Mytilus edulis: one gene and its partner. The protein of the gene in region 1 binds, or shares a complex with, the protein of each later gene. Links are inferred from orthologs where the notes say so. Each region holds a gene or a part of one and is shown in the gene's direction. Other genes may lie near its edges.

The links. Proteins that work in one complex are often made in the same cells at the same time.
Region 2: eukaryotic translation initiation factor 3 subunit A-like (region 1) and eukaryotic translation initiation factor 3 subunit E-A-like share a complex: the UniProt entries of both Drosophila melanogaster proteins name them as parts of the eukaryotic translation initiation factor 3 (eIF-3) complex. The link is inferred for Mytilus edulis from reciprocal best matches to the Drosophila melanogaster genes eIF3a and eIF3e.

Annotation. Positions count from the first base shown.
Region 1 is NC_092347.1:68,643,033-68,650,657, forward strand, and holds the start of eukaryotic translation initiation factor 3 subunit A-like, read left to right. Parts: upstream 1-4,620; 5' UTR 4,621-4,775; coding exon 4,776-4,824; intron 4,825-7,625. UniProt on the Drosophila melanogaster protein: RNA-binding component of the eukaryotic translation initiation factor 3 (eIF-3) complex, which is involved in protein synthesis of a specialized repertoire of mRNAs and, together with other initiation factors, stimulates binding of mRNA and methionyl-tRNAi to the 40S ribosome.
Region 2 is NC_092344.1:103,022,274-103,029,573, forward strand, and holds the start of eukaryotic translation initiation factor 3 subunit E-A-like, read left to right. Parts: upstream 1-4,287; 5' UTR 4,288-4,329; coding exon 4,330-4,419; intron 4,420-5,549; coding exon 5,550-5,667; intron 5,668-7,300. Other genes in the region: E3 ubiquitin-protein ligase RNF146-like, read right to left, coding at 1,971-2,190. UniProt on the Drosophila melanogaster protein: Component of the eukaryotic translation initiation factor 3 (eIF-3) complex, which is involved in protein synthesis of a specialized repertoire of mRNAs and, together with other initiation factors, stimulates binding of mRNA and methionyl-tRNAi to the 40S ribosome.

The DNA of each region.
Region 1 (7,625 bases):
TATTTTTGTGTTTAAAATCTATTTAGAATGAATCTAATGACGGTCATTGGTTTAATTTGGAGTAAACGTCCAAACCAGTACCTTAAACTATGATTAAAGGGAGCCGTGGATAACCTTCAATCATTACCGAAGCAGTATGCGTGGTCTTTCATTTAGAATTATTTTACTTTATGAAAACAAGATGGATCAATCGCAGAAAAGTGTTTTCATCTGAAATTGAACCTAGCAAAGCGATGGCTTCTGCATCTGTCGATCTGATGTAACAACATAACTAGATCTTACAAGTATTTGAAAGCTTGCAATATGTTACTAAACGGTGACCAGATCGTCTGACTTAAATCGCGCTAAAACTAAAATAGAAACGGAAAAAATGGCTTCTGAAATTAACCATGAAAAAAAAAACTTCAAGGAAGTTTAAGTGAATTCGACGAAGGTTTAAGTAATTGTTATGTAATAAATTTTAACGTCAGACTGTGAAGGCCAAAAAAGATAAAAAAAAAAAAAAAAAAAAAAAAAAAAAAAATACGGGAAAACTCATCATATATATATAGAATGAAATATTGACTGGGGAAAATTAGGTGAACGTTCGTCTGTAATTCCCACTGCTCACGACGTACTTATCATAGAAATTTAAACTGTGAGGTCACCAAAGGTTCTAAACGCCTAAATAAAATAATTAAAAATACTAATCAGGAATAACCTTTGTAATTTGAAAATAAATAAAAATGGCCTACAACACGGAGTCTTGGCTCACACCGAACAGCAAGCTATAAAGGTTGAATACTTAAAATGCTTTACTTGATTTTTTGTTATGGTTTGACCATCAATTTTCCTAATATGATATCGTTCTTTCAGATTATTTTTTTTTACTTAATTGGCTTTAAAAGTTACAATGCATGATGTCGTCTGTTTATGTAGTTCATATGTGTTTTTCGTTTCTCGTTGGTTTTCCCGTTTGAATGGTTTTACACTAGTAGTTTTGGGGCCCTCTATAACTTGCTGTTCGGTGTGAGCCCAGGCTCCGTGTTGCAGGTCGTACCTTGACCTATAATGGTTTACTTTTATGAATTATTACTTGGGAGGAGAGTTAAATTGTCTCATTGGCACTCATACCACATCTTCCTATATCTATCTATATCTATACATTTTTTTTTCAACAAAAGAATATATCACAAGAATATAAGTTTTGTAAGAAACGTGAGAAATTGTGTTGGACTTGAAGATAAGGCAAAGTGACAAATATCTGAAAGAATGAATCGTTTTATGGTATTAAACAAAGAAATCAAATGATTTTTTAATTATCCAGAACTCTTCACAAACAAAACCCACATGTATACGCATTGAATAAATAGTAGGCCATTCTTAAATGATCACACCGTAGAAGTAGTTGTGCTCTTAATCAATGAGATATTTTGTGAATTAACCCCATCAACTTAATAGTTTTTTTTTACAATGGATAAACCTATTTTTTTTATTATTATTAAATAATATCATCTCTGAACATTATTATTCTTATAAATGACACGGTTGTATGTGATGATTATAATAAATATTTAAAACAAATTCCTTTCAAGCTTTGTAAAAAGAAAGTTTCATTTTATGTATCGGAATGTGTAACAAGTGAATATTTCAATCCCCACTGGAAGGCCTCTGACAGACTGGGTGAGCATAAAATCATAGCCGTTGACAAACAAGTTACAACCTACAAACGTTTTACTGTCGACCACACTGTTATGCAATTAATTCTAATTTCGTCATTATGCTCTGGATAGTCATTTGAGCATAAACAGTTTTTGTCCAGCTACCGTAAAATTTCACAAATGTTTGACAAAATTATTTATATCTTAAAACTAAACTACGTAATGAACCTGCATGTACATAGTTATAATATTGGCACTGCCGACGAAATTGATGATCAAAATAGCTCGCTTTCGCGACATAAATGTCAATGGCTCGACAAAAAATAAAAGTCACATATCCATAGGCGGATCCAGGGGGGTCCCCCCTTAGGTCAGTCAGCGGGCCCCCCTCCCTTAGGAAAAGTTCTGGATCCGCCACTGAATCGAATCTTAGCTCATAATGAATTGCTTGAAAAAAATAAGGAGAGAGAGTAGATTTAGAATTTGACAGAAATAATATGAAACTAATTTTCGTCACTTTTATTCGCAATTACAAGCCATTGAAGAAAGAATTAAAATGTTGATGTACTGTTAACCAATTCCTTTATTTTTATTTATATGAAAATATTTTTTTTAACCAAATTCAAGTGTACGCCAGGGCGTTTTGACGTAAACGTAGCTCCGCGTATGGTTAATGTGCTAAAATTGCAGCACATCTGTCGCATTTAACAAAGTTTTGTGACTATATTTCCTTTTGTTTTCGTATTAAAATCATTCATATCTTTTATCATATTTTCTAATAACGTATAATATTAATATTACATTTGTACGTTAAATCTTTAACTATTATTTTGCGTTAATTGTTTTCCATATAAAAGTCATCCTCCCTCTCTTTACATATAGATACTAAAATACAATAAAATCTATATCATAGAAATCTCTACAAATTTTTCAATAAAATAAATGTGTTATGATGGTCCTAGGACCATCGTAGTTAGGACTATCCTAAGACAGCTTTGTTTTACACCCTAAGACATGTCTCAGACACGACCTAAGACCATCCTAAGTAATGTCCTAAGATATATATCCTTGGATACTTTCATTGACACGGCCCCTGATGTTATTTATGTATTATTGTCATTTTGTTTATTTTCTTTGGTTACATCTTCTGACATCAGACACGGACTTCTCTTGAACTGATTTTTAATGTGCGTATTGTTATGCGTTTACTTTTCTGCATTGGCTAGAGGTATCTCATAAACATGTTTAACCCCGCTGCATTTTTGCGCCTGTCCCAAGTCAGGAGCCTCTGGCCTTTGTTAGTCTTGTACTAATTTAATTTTAGTTTCTTGTGTACAATTTGGAGTTTAGTATATATGGCGTTCATTATCACTGAAAAAGTATAATATATTTTTGTTTAAGGGGCCAGCTGAAGGACGCCTCCGGGTGCTGGAATTTCTCGCTGCATTGAAGACCTGTTGGTGACCTTCTGCTGTTGTCTTCTCTGCGGTCGGGTTGTTGTCTCTTTGACACATTCCCCATTTCCATTCTCAATTTTAGTCTCAGGTAGGGATGACGCGGCCGGATATATTTCACTGTATTCTAGTCTAATAATATTAATTTGTAAATTCAATAAAAAAAAAAGATGAATGTTTGTCTAAAATTAACCCATAAGGTTCAAATACATATATGGTCCAGTTCGTCCTAGACCATATATTTAATGTATTTTAATTATGCCACTTGAAAAAATGAATATAACTTTGGTAAAATAAATACGAAGGGCTTCATGATCAAGCACCTGCCGGAAGACACAATGTGTTTTAAATAGACAAAAGTTTTCCAACTGATCTAAAGTATACAACCTCTTTAAACTAAAAGTATAATTGACACATATCATCGTGTAATGTGTTTTCGTACTAATAACAATTTTCACTGCTTACGGTTTTTACTGTTGAGTTTTTATTTAGGTGTTTACTCAGATTTAAAAAGCATGTCCTGTAGATTGATTTTAGGTATCTAGTTTTTTTGTCAATGATTTCTCTACGATTTTTTACTGTTTCCGATTACTTTGCGATTTTTGTATGTCAAAAAAACGGCGTCATATGTTTTCGTATGAAATAAAAATTGGATCAGTACACGGACAGGAAATGACTACAAAATCCGGAAATAAATTTTTTCTAAAGTCGTGGTTCTGGTGATCGCTTGAATCATAAAAAAAGTTATTAAATACTTTTCAGTACTAAAAATTACTAGTAAATAGTGTAAGGTTGGTGTTTCGTGTGATGAAATTTTTAGATTTTGATTAATTTTCAGATTGGCACCTGGTTTGTACAAAATACATTATTTTTTCTAAAATAAAATGCAGTTTTCAAAATTTATGATTAAATATAAAAAGTTAAGACTGTTTTCATCTTCATGTATCAAGGATGTATAAAAAAAAATTGTCAATGAAATATTGAATAGTTGGATTTTGAACAACCATTTTATATAAGAACCCTGCTAATTTTAACTCGATGGTTTGTAATTAAAACGGCCATAAAAACACATGACAGTCATATGTCTTGAAGATCCGGTGTCTGACTTGCAAAAAACATATCTGGACTTTATTTTAACCCTTCAGAATTTTTTTCCACAACTATTCTAGTGATGCGTATTTTTGACATTAAATAAAAATGGCTAAATAGGTCAGTTTTATTTAATTTGTTCTAACGTCTTTAAAAAGCGACGTTGAATATGTTTTAAATATATCAAGTTGTAGTGGTGTTGTTGTTCTAAATATAGAAACAGAAAAACATGCCACAATGTACGCGTATGCAGTCGAAACCGACGAAATGTGGTTGATACGAAAACATATGACATACGAAAACATATGACACGACGATATTTTAAATAACGATTGACGAAATCTGAGACTACTATATGTGTTATAGTAGTCTCAGACGAAATTAAATTAAAAAGACGGATTCACGTACGGGGTTATCATGTTTTCCGTCAAAGTTTTATAGAAGAAACGTACCATGATCTCTTTTTAGTTATATCATGCCCTTTATCTAATGAGTCGGCCATTTTGTACTCCACATGGCCGGGAAGACACAGTGAAGTGCGACCTAAGAAATTTTTTATCGGTTTAATACATTATGCACATAAACTGAAAAGATGCCAACATATTTCCAAAGACCAGAGAATGCTCTGAAAAGAGCTAATGGTACTAACCTCTTAACAAATACTCTTCTTTACTTGATGTTTCAATATTTGCGAATAATGATAAATTACTTCTTCTTCTTTAGGTTTTCAGTAGTCCTTCAATGATCTGAAGATTATTTACTGTTTGCGCGCGCAGCGTGGCCTATATATATATTTACAAAAACAAAAGGGCCAAAACAAAAACAAAAATATTTGGAAATAAATTTGAGGTGCATAATTTATTAAAATTGTGATTAAAACTATGTACATAGGCTAATAATGAGTTAGATGAATTTGTGGAGAACAGCTGGTGTGAGCTGTTCTCTGAAAGTGTCGACTGTGGCGACAGCGACTGTTTGCATTGGCAATAAGTTCCACTGAGTTATGGTATATGGAAAAAATGAGTATTTATATGTATCTTTTTTGGTTGAAATGTGTCTAAAAGTATAATTATGGTTTTTGCGTGTTCTACTGTCTGATGGTATGAGAATAGCCGATGGTATAGCTACGATTTGATGTACTATTTTATAGAACATTATTAATCTTGTGCGAGTTCTTCTTTCCTGTAGAGTTGGCCAGTTTAGGGTGTTTATCATATCTGTCGGGCTACTGATGTTATGGTATCTGTTACAGACATATCTGGCAGCTCGCCTTTGGACCATCTCGATTTTTGAGGTTTGTTCAACTGTGTGAGGGTCCCATACTGAACATGAATATTCCAGTTTAGGACGGACTAGTGCCAGATATGCCTGAGTTTTGATGTTCTGACATGATGTTTTTAAGTTTCTTTTTAAGAAGCCCAGAGATTTGTTGCCATTAGCTATGATGTTGTCTGTATGTTTAGACCATTTTAGGTTTGCTTGAAGTGTAATGCCCAGATATTTAGCCGAAGAGACAAGTTCCAGTTTGTGATTGTGAAGGATATAGTCATGTTTAAATGGGTTTTTCTTCTGTGAGACTGTAAGGACTGTGCATTTGTCTGGATGGAAAGCCATCAACCAGTCTTGCTCCCACCTAGCAGCTGCATCTAAATCTAACTGTAGTGCATCACAGTCGCTTTGAGATTTGATGGTTTTGTAGATGATACTGTCATCGGCAAACAGTCTGAGCTTACTGGATGATAGGTATTCTGGTAGGTCGTTAATGTATACCAAGAATAATACTGGGCCCAGAACTGTGCCTTGAGGGACACCTTAGGTGACTGGGGCTAGGTCAGATGACTCTCCATCCAGGACAACTGTTTGTGTTCTGTCATTTAAGAATGCAGAGACCCAGTTTAAAGTTTCATTTTGGATACCGTAATAGTGTAATTTATAGAGTAATCTTTTATGAGGGACTTTGTCAAAGGCTTTGGCAAAGTCCATTATAATTAAGTCAATTTGAGTGTTGTTGTTATTATTTGCTGCAAGTTCTTGAATGAATGAAATGAGTTGTGTTTCGCAAGATCTAGACTGACGGAAGCCATGCTGGAGGTCATACAGTATGTTGTTCTTTTCAAGATGGTTGATGATGTGTTTTGTGATGATATGCTCCATAAGTTTACAGGATATACATGTCAATGATATAGGGCGGTAATTTTCTGGTTTATATTTTTCCCCTTTTTTGAATGCTGGTGCTACATTGGCGTGTTTCCAGTCTGATGGTGTAATGCCAGTTTCAAGAGATGTTTTAAAGATAAGTGTGAGAATTGGAGCTGTTTGGTCTTTGAGTTCTTTAAGTATTCTGCCGCTGATGTTGTCTGGGCCAGTTGCCTTATGTGGGTTTATATTGTGTAGGAGTTTCTTGACACCAGGTAAGGATATTTCAAGTGATGTTATCACAGGGTGTGAGCTAGGACCTTTGTCTGGAATGGTGTTATTTGATTCTGTTGTAAACACTGATTGGAATTGTGTGTTGAGGATGTCTGCCTTTTGCTTTGTGTCAGCTATTAATTGTCCTTCTTTTTTTAGAGGTGCAACACCGGTGTTATCTGTGCGCAGTGATTTAATGAAGGAAAATAGCTTTTTAGGTTTAGACTGATTGTTGAATTGTTGGTCTGGTTCATTTATGGGTAGGTCTAAGATCATTTTTTCAATATAACCCCAGTATGCAGTTCTTTGTTCTTTTTGTACTTGTTTTTTCAGATGTCGGTACTTTTCAGCATACTTGATGTCTTGTTTCATTTTATAATAGAGCTTGTTTTTTCGATTGCCATATGTCGTCGACTACGAGTCTACTTATCTTCTGTGTCTGCATTAAGGGTCTTGTAAGGTCGCGTGAACTATTGATTAATATAACAAGAAAACAAATAATGAAATATGATTACTTCTCAGTTAATTATTTTTCCCGCTCCATTTATGATGCACCTTATCGCTAATCCCGGCTGAACCGGCCAAATAGCGATAAGGTGTATTGTAGCTTAGGTTAGTCCATGTTAGTCCCAAATAATACACCTTATCGCTATTAGTCCGCCATTACTGGATATCACATAAAAGTTTGACGTCATATAACAAAATATCTGACGCCACAATGGAAAAGTGATTGTTGTATGTGTCTAAAAGTTCAAGCGGCCGAATCCAGGTCCGTTAGCGCCCATTCACGTTCGCATCCACTCATGTTCGCCCCCTTTCATTTCCGCCCTACATGTTCGCGCCCAATTTTAATTGGTTTTGTGTTTGTTTAATAACTTTGTAATCAAGTTTTGGCAAGTAGTATTCTTATAAGTATAATTGTTTTCATGGTCTCAAAATAAAGTGAGACCGCATTTTTTTTTTTTGTGTTGAATAAATCTTAATCATGTTTTGGATAGTGTATTGTTAAAAAAAATTATATTCCTTTCTAAAT
Region 2 (7,300 bases), on another chromosome or scaffold:
TAAACATGATAAAAAGCATGTAAAATATAAAACAAAATGTTTAAAAAGTATTGTCAGAATCAGTCATTTATATGTGGGGAAATTTGATTGATTATATACAGAATCACTGAAACATGACTGTAGCAGGCCCCCATTTATAAAAAGTTCTGGATCCCCCACTATATGTGTTTTTCTACCAACATGTTTGACAATTCCAAATAGGATCATATAATTTTATGAAGTAAAAGTTATTTTAAATTTAAGTTAGTTATTCTTAAAAGGAGACCATAGGCGGATCCGGGAAAAATTTGGTTGATTATATAGGGAATCACTGAAGCATGACTGGAGTGGGCCCCCCCCCCCCCCCCCCCCCCCCTTATGAAAAGTTCTGGATCTGCCACTGGAGACTGACCTCTCAGTTATTCAATTATTTTAAATTTTGAAAATCAGAAAAAATAAACTTCACATCAGCCATGTCAGCATGATCACAATACTTTAAAATATTAAAAATAGCTGATATCAATTTTTATAAAAAACTTGACAACTGGCAACTGCACAAGCTGAAATTGGCGGGAAAGTGACATTTAAAGGAAACACTCCTTTGTTAATTTATGTATCATTGTCATTTTGTTTAGTTTCTTTTGTTACCTATATATATTCTGACATCAGACTTTGACTTCTTTTAACATTTTAAACTGAGTTTTACTGTGCGTATTGCTGTGTGTTTGTTTTTTCTACATTAGCTAGAACTAAAAAGTGTAGGGAACATGGGGAAAGAGTTGAGATCTCACAAAACATGTTTAACCCTGCCACATTTAAGGGCCTGCCCCAAGTCAGGTGCCTCTGACCTCTGTTAGTCTTGTATGATTTTTAATTTCAGTTCATTTATATATTTCAGAGTTTAGTATGATGTCCATTATCACTAAACTTGTACACATTTTTGTTTAGGGGCCAGATGAAGCATGCCTCTGCAAGCAGGATTTTCTCCCTGTTTTGTAGACCCATTGGTGGCCTAGCTGCTCTATAGTCAGGTTGTTGCCTCTTTGACGCATTCTCCATTTTCAATTTTACTCCTGAAAAGGCTGAAATTTATTAAATAAATTCAGATTTTGGTATGTAGATTTTTTTGTGGGGAAGGATCTTAGAAAATCTGGGCAACCATTTGAAAAAAGAAGTATATCATACCATATATTATACTGTTCCCAGATCATACCTAACTTGGATGGAATTATAACTTATTTTATCGATACTTTTGGATATTTTCAAAAACATGCAGATGAGGTACTAATAATGTAAGAGTTTGTACATGTATATAAGCAAAAATTTTACTTGTCATTGAAGAGAAAATGTCAAATTCGGTCTTAAAGTTAAGAGGAGTTCAGCATACCAGGAACATATATATATTATACTGTTCCCAGATCATACCTAACTTGGATGGAATTATAACTTATTTTATCGATACTTTTGGATATTTTCAAAAACATGCAGATGAGGTACTAATAATGTAAGAGTTTGTACATGTATATAAGCAAAAATTTTACTTGTCATTGAAGAGAAAATGTCAAATTCGGTCTTAAAGTTAAGAGGAGTTCAGCATAAAAAATGACTTTAATGTTATATTGTACATGTACAATGTCAATGATGTAGGAAGGAGTCGCATGAAAAAACATGCATTACCCTTTGTGGGATAATTTTCGACAGACACCACCTGAGCCGGCCACCTGAGTCTGACTAAATTACTAGCTTACTATACAGACACAGTATGGGATTTGTTGATTGTTAAAGGATATATCATGTACAATGCCCAATAAATGCTTACCTCCATGTCCTATACATTGTAGATGGTTGCCTCAATAGCAAATCACATGTAGATCTCCTAATTTTATATCATAATTTCACGAATTATATACCACTATACCAGTCTTATTAAATACTTTTTTTACAAGTTGCAGTATCATGACTAAAAGTTACATATAAATATATATATATACCATTTTCTGTTAATTGGGAATCATACTGAATGTTCTGAAATTTTGTACTGGCTTGTTGTTGGTTTGGTTTGATTTCACTGCATTTATCTTCATCGTCTTGATCTGCCATCTCACGTTGCCGTCCTCCTTCGTCAGTTTCATTCCGTGCCATTTCTCGATTCAAGGTCGCCTGGTTGGTACAGTTGGCAGCACTCCCACTTCTTAGGCCAGGCCTGCTCATACCTGCTGCATTTGATGCAGCGACTAATTTAATGAATCACAAAAATCGAACACTTCCAGTTAGAACAGCCTTGACCTTTCATCGTCGTTACGAACTTTTCGAATACTTTTCGGAACACTAATGAACTTGTGCGGTACAAAATTCCATTGGAAAATCAAACTAAATTTAAAAAGTTATTATCAAAACGATTCTTTACACAGTGTAAAAGACCGCAAAATATTTATCCGAAAATAAAATATGATGACTAAATAAAAATCTGCCACTGGACACAGCATAAAATATTTCCGTAATGTATTGATTGGGCTTTTTATTTGTCTCAGCATGGAAGTATTGCTTCCATGGTCACAGCAAAGATTTGTACTATACAAATCATAGGTCCCAGTATACTTTCCTTTAAAATAAAAGTTAAACTTAAATAAGAAAGAACTGAAAAAATCTGTTTAGTTTAGATTTATAGCTCGATAAGACAAGATAAGATAAGAAAATTTATTTTATGTCGGGTTGTAAATACTACAAACATAAGCTCTGTAGAGCTTTTTGTCGACATTAATAACAACAACAACACATACAAGACATATATAGGACATATACAGCACACACAATAGACAATATAAAGACAGCTATATTGCATACGCAACTGAGTTCATATATAATTATATATAAAAGCAAGTACAATCAAGTAAAGCACTAAACTAGATTATAAGCACATGCAAAGCAGACAAATAAATAGGCTAAACTAGTTCTAAAAGTAGCATGAAAACATAAAAAGCCATAAAACTTATTTCATAGAGCCAGAGACATATGAATACAGGCTAGCCGATATGTCTCTTATAATACTGATAGAGCGTAATGGACTATCATGTTGAATACAATATATATATATAGTGAGATTCCATTTAGATATATCTCGGATATATATATTAAAACAAGTCTAAACTTTTGAAAACAACGTCCAAACCTATGATTGCGTTGGATAAAAAAACGCAATTTTTATACGTCTGCATGTAAAAAACATCGTTGTAGAAGGGTCTCAATACAGCACAAACAACATTTCCAAGAGACCAGTAAGTGTAAAAGTGTTTATATTTCACAGCTCGTTCGCTATGCCCGTGTCTGTTGTGACGTTTTTGATTTTAACGAACATAATCTATGTATTACTGGTAAATTATTAAACCAGGGATCATCGTAATGTATATCCATAAATTACTTAAAATCTTTATTAAATTTCCGATAGATATAAAAATTTGATTTTGAAGTTTGATTGTACCTGTAGGAAACTTATTTCAAACAGGATAGCACATCTTCATTTTTACGGAAATGTTGTTAACCGTGCCCGGAAATTTAGAAATGATCCTTGTAAACTGATCGCTCCTTTAAATAAAGTTATTCTAAAAGGTTACCAATTCAACAGTATAGTTATACCAATAAAAACAATCATTAAATGATTACAGTGTTACACTGTAATCATTTAATGATTGTTTTTATTGGTCAGTATATTAAATGATTACAGTGTTACACTGTAATCATTTAATGATTGTTTTTATTGGTATAACTATTGATTTTGTTATCAGTAAATTAAAAGCAAACTAAATATTACTAGTATGTTATATACATATACACATTCATGGATCTACATTCTGTCGATACCTGTATCTTGGCATTCACAAAGTCATGTTTTTCTCTGACTGTTTATGACATCTTAACACTGAATCCATTTTGTGTTGAATGCGTGACGGTTATAATGAAGTCAAATTATACACCTCTTTCTTTAAAAAAAATTAAACAAAATAGCAATTACACAATAATTGGAAACTTAAACATCGAGTGGGGATATTATATCTATAGAGTTTAAAATAGCAAGTGTTCTACAATGAGACTATCAAAATCCGTGTCCTTGAAAGGCTCGGAAATCCGAATAAATATTAGCCCCGCTTTCCTGTTCATCGTTCGAATATATATACAAAATATATGGTAAGAAATTTACTGTTATACCCATTTGTTTCTAAAATTGCAATTGCGTCTGAATGTTATGCATGCTTTTAAAAAAAAAAACTGTATAAAAAAAACAAAGAATATTCCTATCCGTACCCGACGTTTGTTTTATGATTTATAATCCTTTTTGACAAGCGCACCGGCAGCATGGCGGAATGGGACTTGACTTCGCGAATGGGACAGTATTTAGACCGTCATTTGGTCTTCCCTTTACTAGAATTTTTATCTGTGAAAGAAGTAAGTAGTATAATAAACATACATGACACAGAAAGAAACGTATCGTGATCCCGAGCTACGATTCAAATGAATGTTTATCCCATCTGTCATAGATGATCTGTCATAGATGAGGGAGGGTAGGAGGGGTCCTGATCCCGAATTCCCGGGCTTAAAAATACGAAATCCCGAAATCCCGGGCTTAAAAACACGAAATCCCGAGGTTCCGAAATTCGAAAAAAGAATTCCCGGATCCCGAAAGGGTCAATCCCGAAATCCCGAGCTTAAAAACACCCGATCCCGTAGTCCCGATAAAGGTCCTATCCCCCCTCATAGATAACCTTTCCGTATTGACCATATAAAACCCGATACCGGTACTTTCGATTTGAATTATTTTATAGATATTAACAATAAAAAAAAAGATAAAATAGCAAACCAGAACTACAAACAACTCTCCTATATTAACAAGATTGAAAATTATAAATTAAGACCAGACGTAATCCCTTTTATGGTCGTGTATCTTAGATTAATGCACCTCATCACTATTTCCTGCCATTACTGGACAATACACAGGTTCCTGTAAAGTTCTGACGCCACAATACAAAATATCTGACGCCACTATTGAAAAGTGATTGTGATATGACGTCAGTCAATAGTTTAAGCGGGACAGATTCTTTGGTCAGTTGGGAATAGCAATAAGGTGTATACTAGAATTAGATTCATTTCTGATTTGACCACTTTCAGAAATCCCTCATCAAGCACAGAGTAACTGGAAATGTTAGTAAAATGTTCAATGTCAAAACAATGTTCAGTTTCTTAAAGTCTAGCTATTTATTTGTAGAATTAGGTGTTTGATGATAAAAATTATCCTTATAATTATACATAGAAAAAGTACAAACATTTGGAAATAACAGAGACATATAATTCAAAAAGAATCGCAACTCAGAGAACTACCATCATATCTCTCGGTCACTAGGAAATCCTTGTGAGATCTTCTTCGGTAACTAAAAGTATTGAAAGTACTAGAAGTAATGATGAATGTTTTAAAATAACTTGATTTCTACCGTTATAAATGTTTGAGATACTTGTGTTGTCTATAACCCTCACTGCACATATATTAGTCTATAGTTAAGAAAATATTTTTATGTTTTCAGCTGTATGATGAAAAACAGATGTTAAAAGGGAAGTTGGATCTTCTCAGTAATACAAACATGGTGGACTTTGCAATGGATGTACATAAAAATTTATATCCTGACAAAGATGTACCACAAAGTAATTATACAGTTACATAAATATGTCGACTATATAAAGACAATAACACTCAGGTCCTGATGAGGCCTATTTATAGGTGAAACATGTCGACCAAATAAACAGATACTTTGCGCTAAAAACTTGAGTGTTGTTGTCTTTATTGTAGACATATTAATCACCACTTCAGGTGTTGGTTCACTTATATTTTTACACTTACATATATACATGTGATAAACATTATATCTTATTCACATCAAACAAATACTACACTTCAGCAATAATTCAACTAGGCATTGTTCCAGTGCATTTGCACACCTTTCTCTCGTAATGTGTTTAAGGAAATACGAAAATATGAACTAATTTCTGAAAGGATTCAGGAAGAAATTTTTATAAAAATGGCAATTTACATACCACTCCTCCTGCTCCTGACATGCCTGAATTAGTGCTTTGCATCGACCTAAATGACATATTGGAATAGAACAAAACTTGATTTACTGTAATACAAACGAGAAGATGGTTGAGAATGGTTGAACTATAATATTACTTACAAATGTGATTAAGGATTCAAAGACGATCAATTGTCTGGTTGAATTTTGATTTTTTAGACTATTCACTAATTCTGAAAATATGTATTATAAAGAACATGGATTAAACAAAAAATATATCTGTTTTCCATGGTCTCAAACTAGTATTGTATGAACTACAAAGAGTTATTTACAAGATTAGAATTAATTGTCTTTGGCCCAGGGCTTCTAAAAAAATTTTGAGCCAGCCGGACATTTTATATCTGATTCCAATTTTAATCTCTAAGACTAAGTCACAAAAGGCAATTATGGTAATCAAATGGCCATCCCAATGATTGACATTAGATTAAAAAAAACGAAATTAAACTTTACTTTGATATGAATTTGATGTTCTGATGTAAACTGTTAAAATTGGCAGTGCATCATTCAAAGTGTGTACATCAGCGTGCTCATATCTGCCGGCTCTTTATTTGTGCAAAATGACGTTGTCAAAAAATTTACTTTAGTTTTCAAAGTCAAACCGGATGTTGACACATTTTCCCAAACCGGATGTTGACTTGACAATGGTAAAACATGGACCATAAACGGATACGTAAAATCCGTGTACATTTACAAAGCACGACTGAGTGAAGAAGCTCTTTCCACGTTATTTCTTGAACAAAATACTTGAAATGAACGTTAGATACCGGTTTCAATGATTATTTTACCATTTTTGAAGAAATGTAGGATGCATAATTAAATTTCCCACCTGTGCACATGCGCACACGTGTTCTTATTCATGCAACATAGTTCTGACGATTTTTCATTTAAAATCTTTTTAAATGTTTCATCAAATCATGTTTATAAATGTATTTATTATAATTTAATCTTTTGGACTAATTCAATTAGATACAAACCACTGAAATGTACGGAAATAATTGTGAATAGACCGATTAATTTATACGATGTCCGGTACTGAAAATTATTGTTTACCTGTCATCTGAACAGGTAGTTTTCAGCTGTCCAACAACTAATTAGCTTGGATTAAAATTAGAGAGTATTGAAGTAGGGGTTGTTTTGATAGTAATTAATCATCATGTCACTTTTATGACCGGAAATGTGGGGCTGTTAAAGGCAAAAAATTGGGTCAA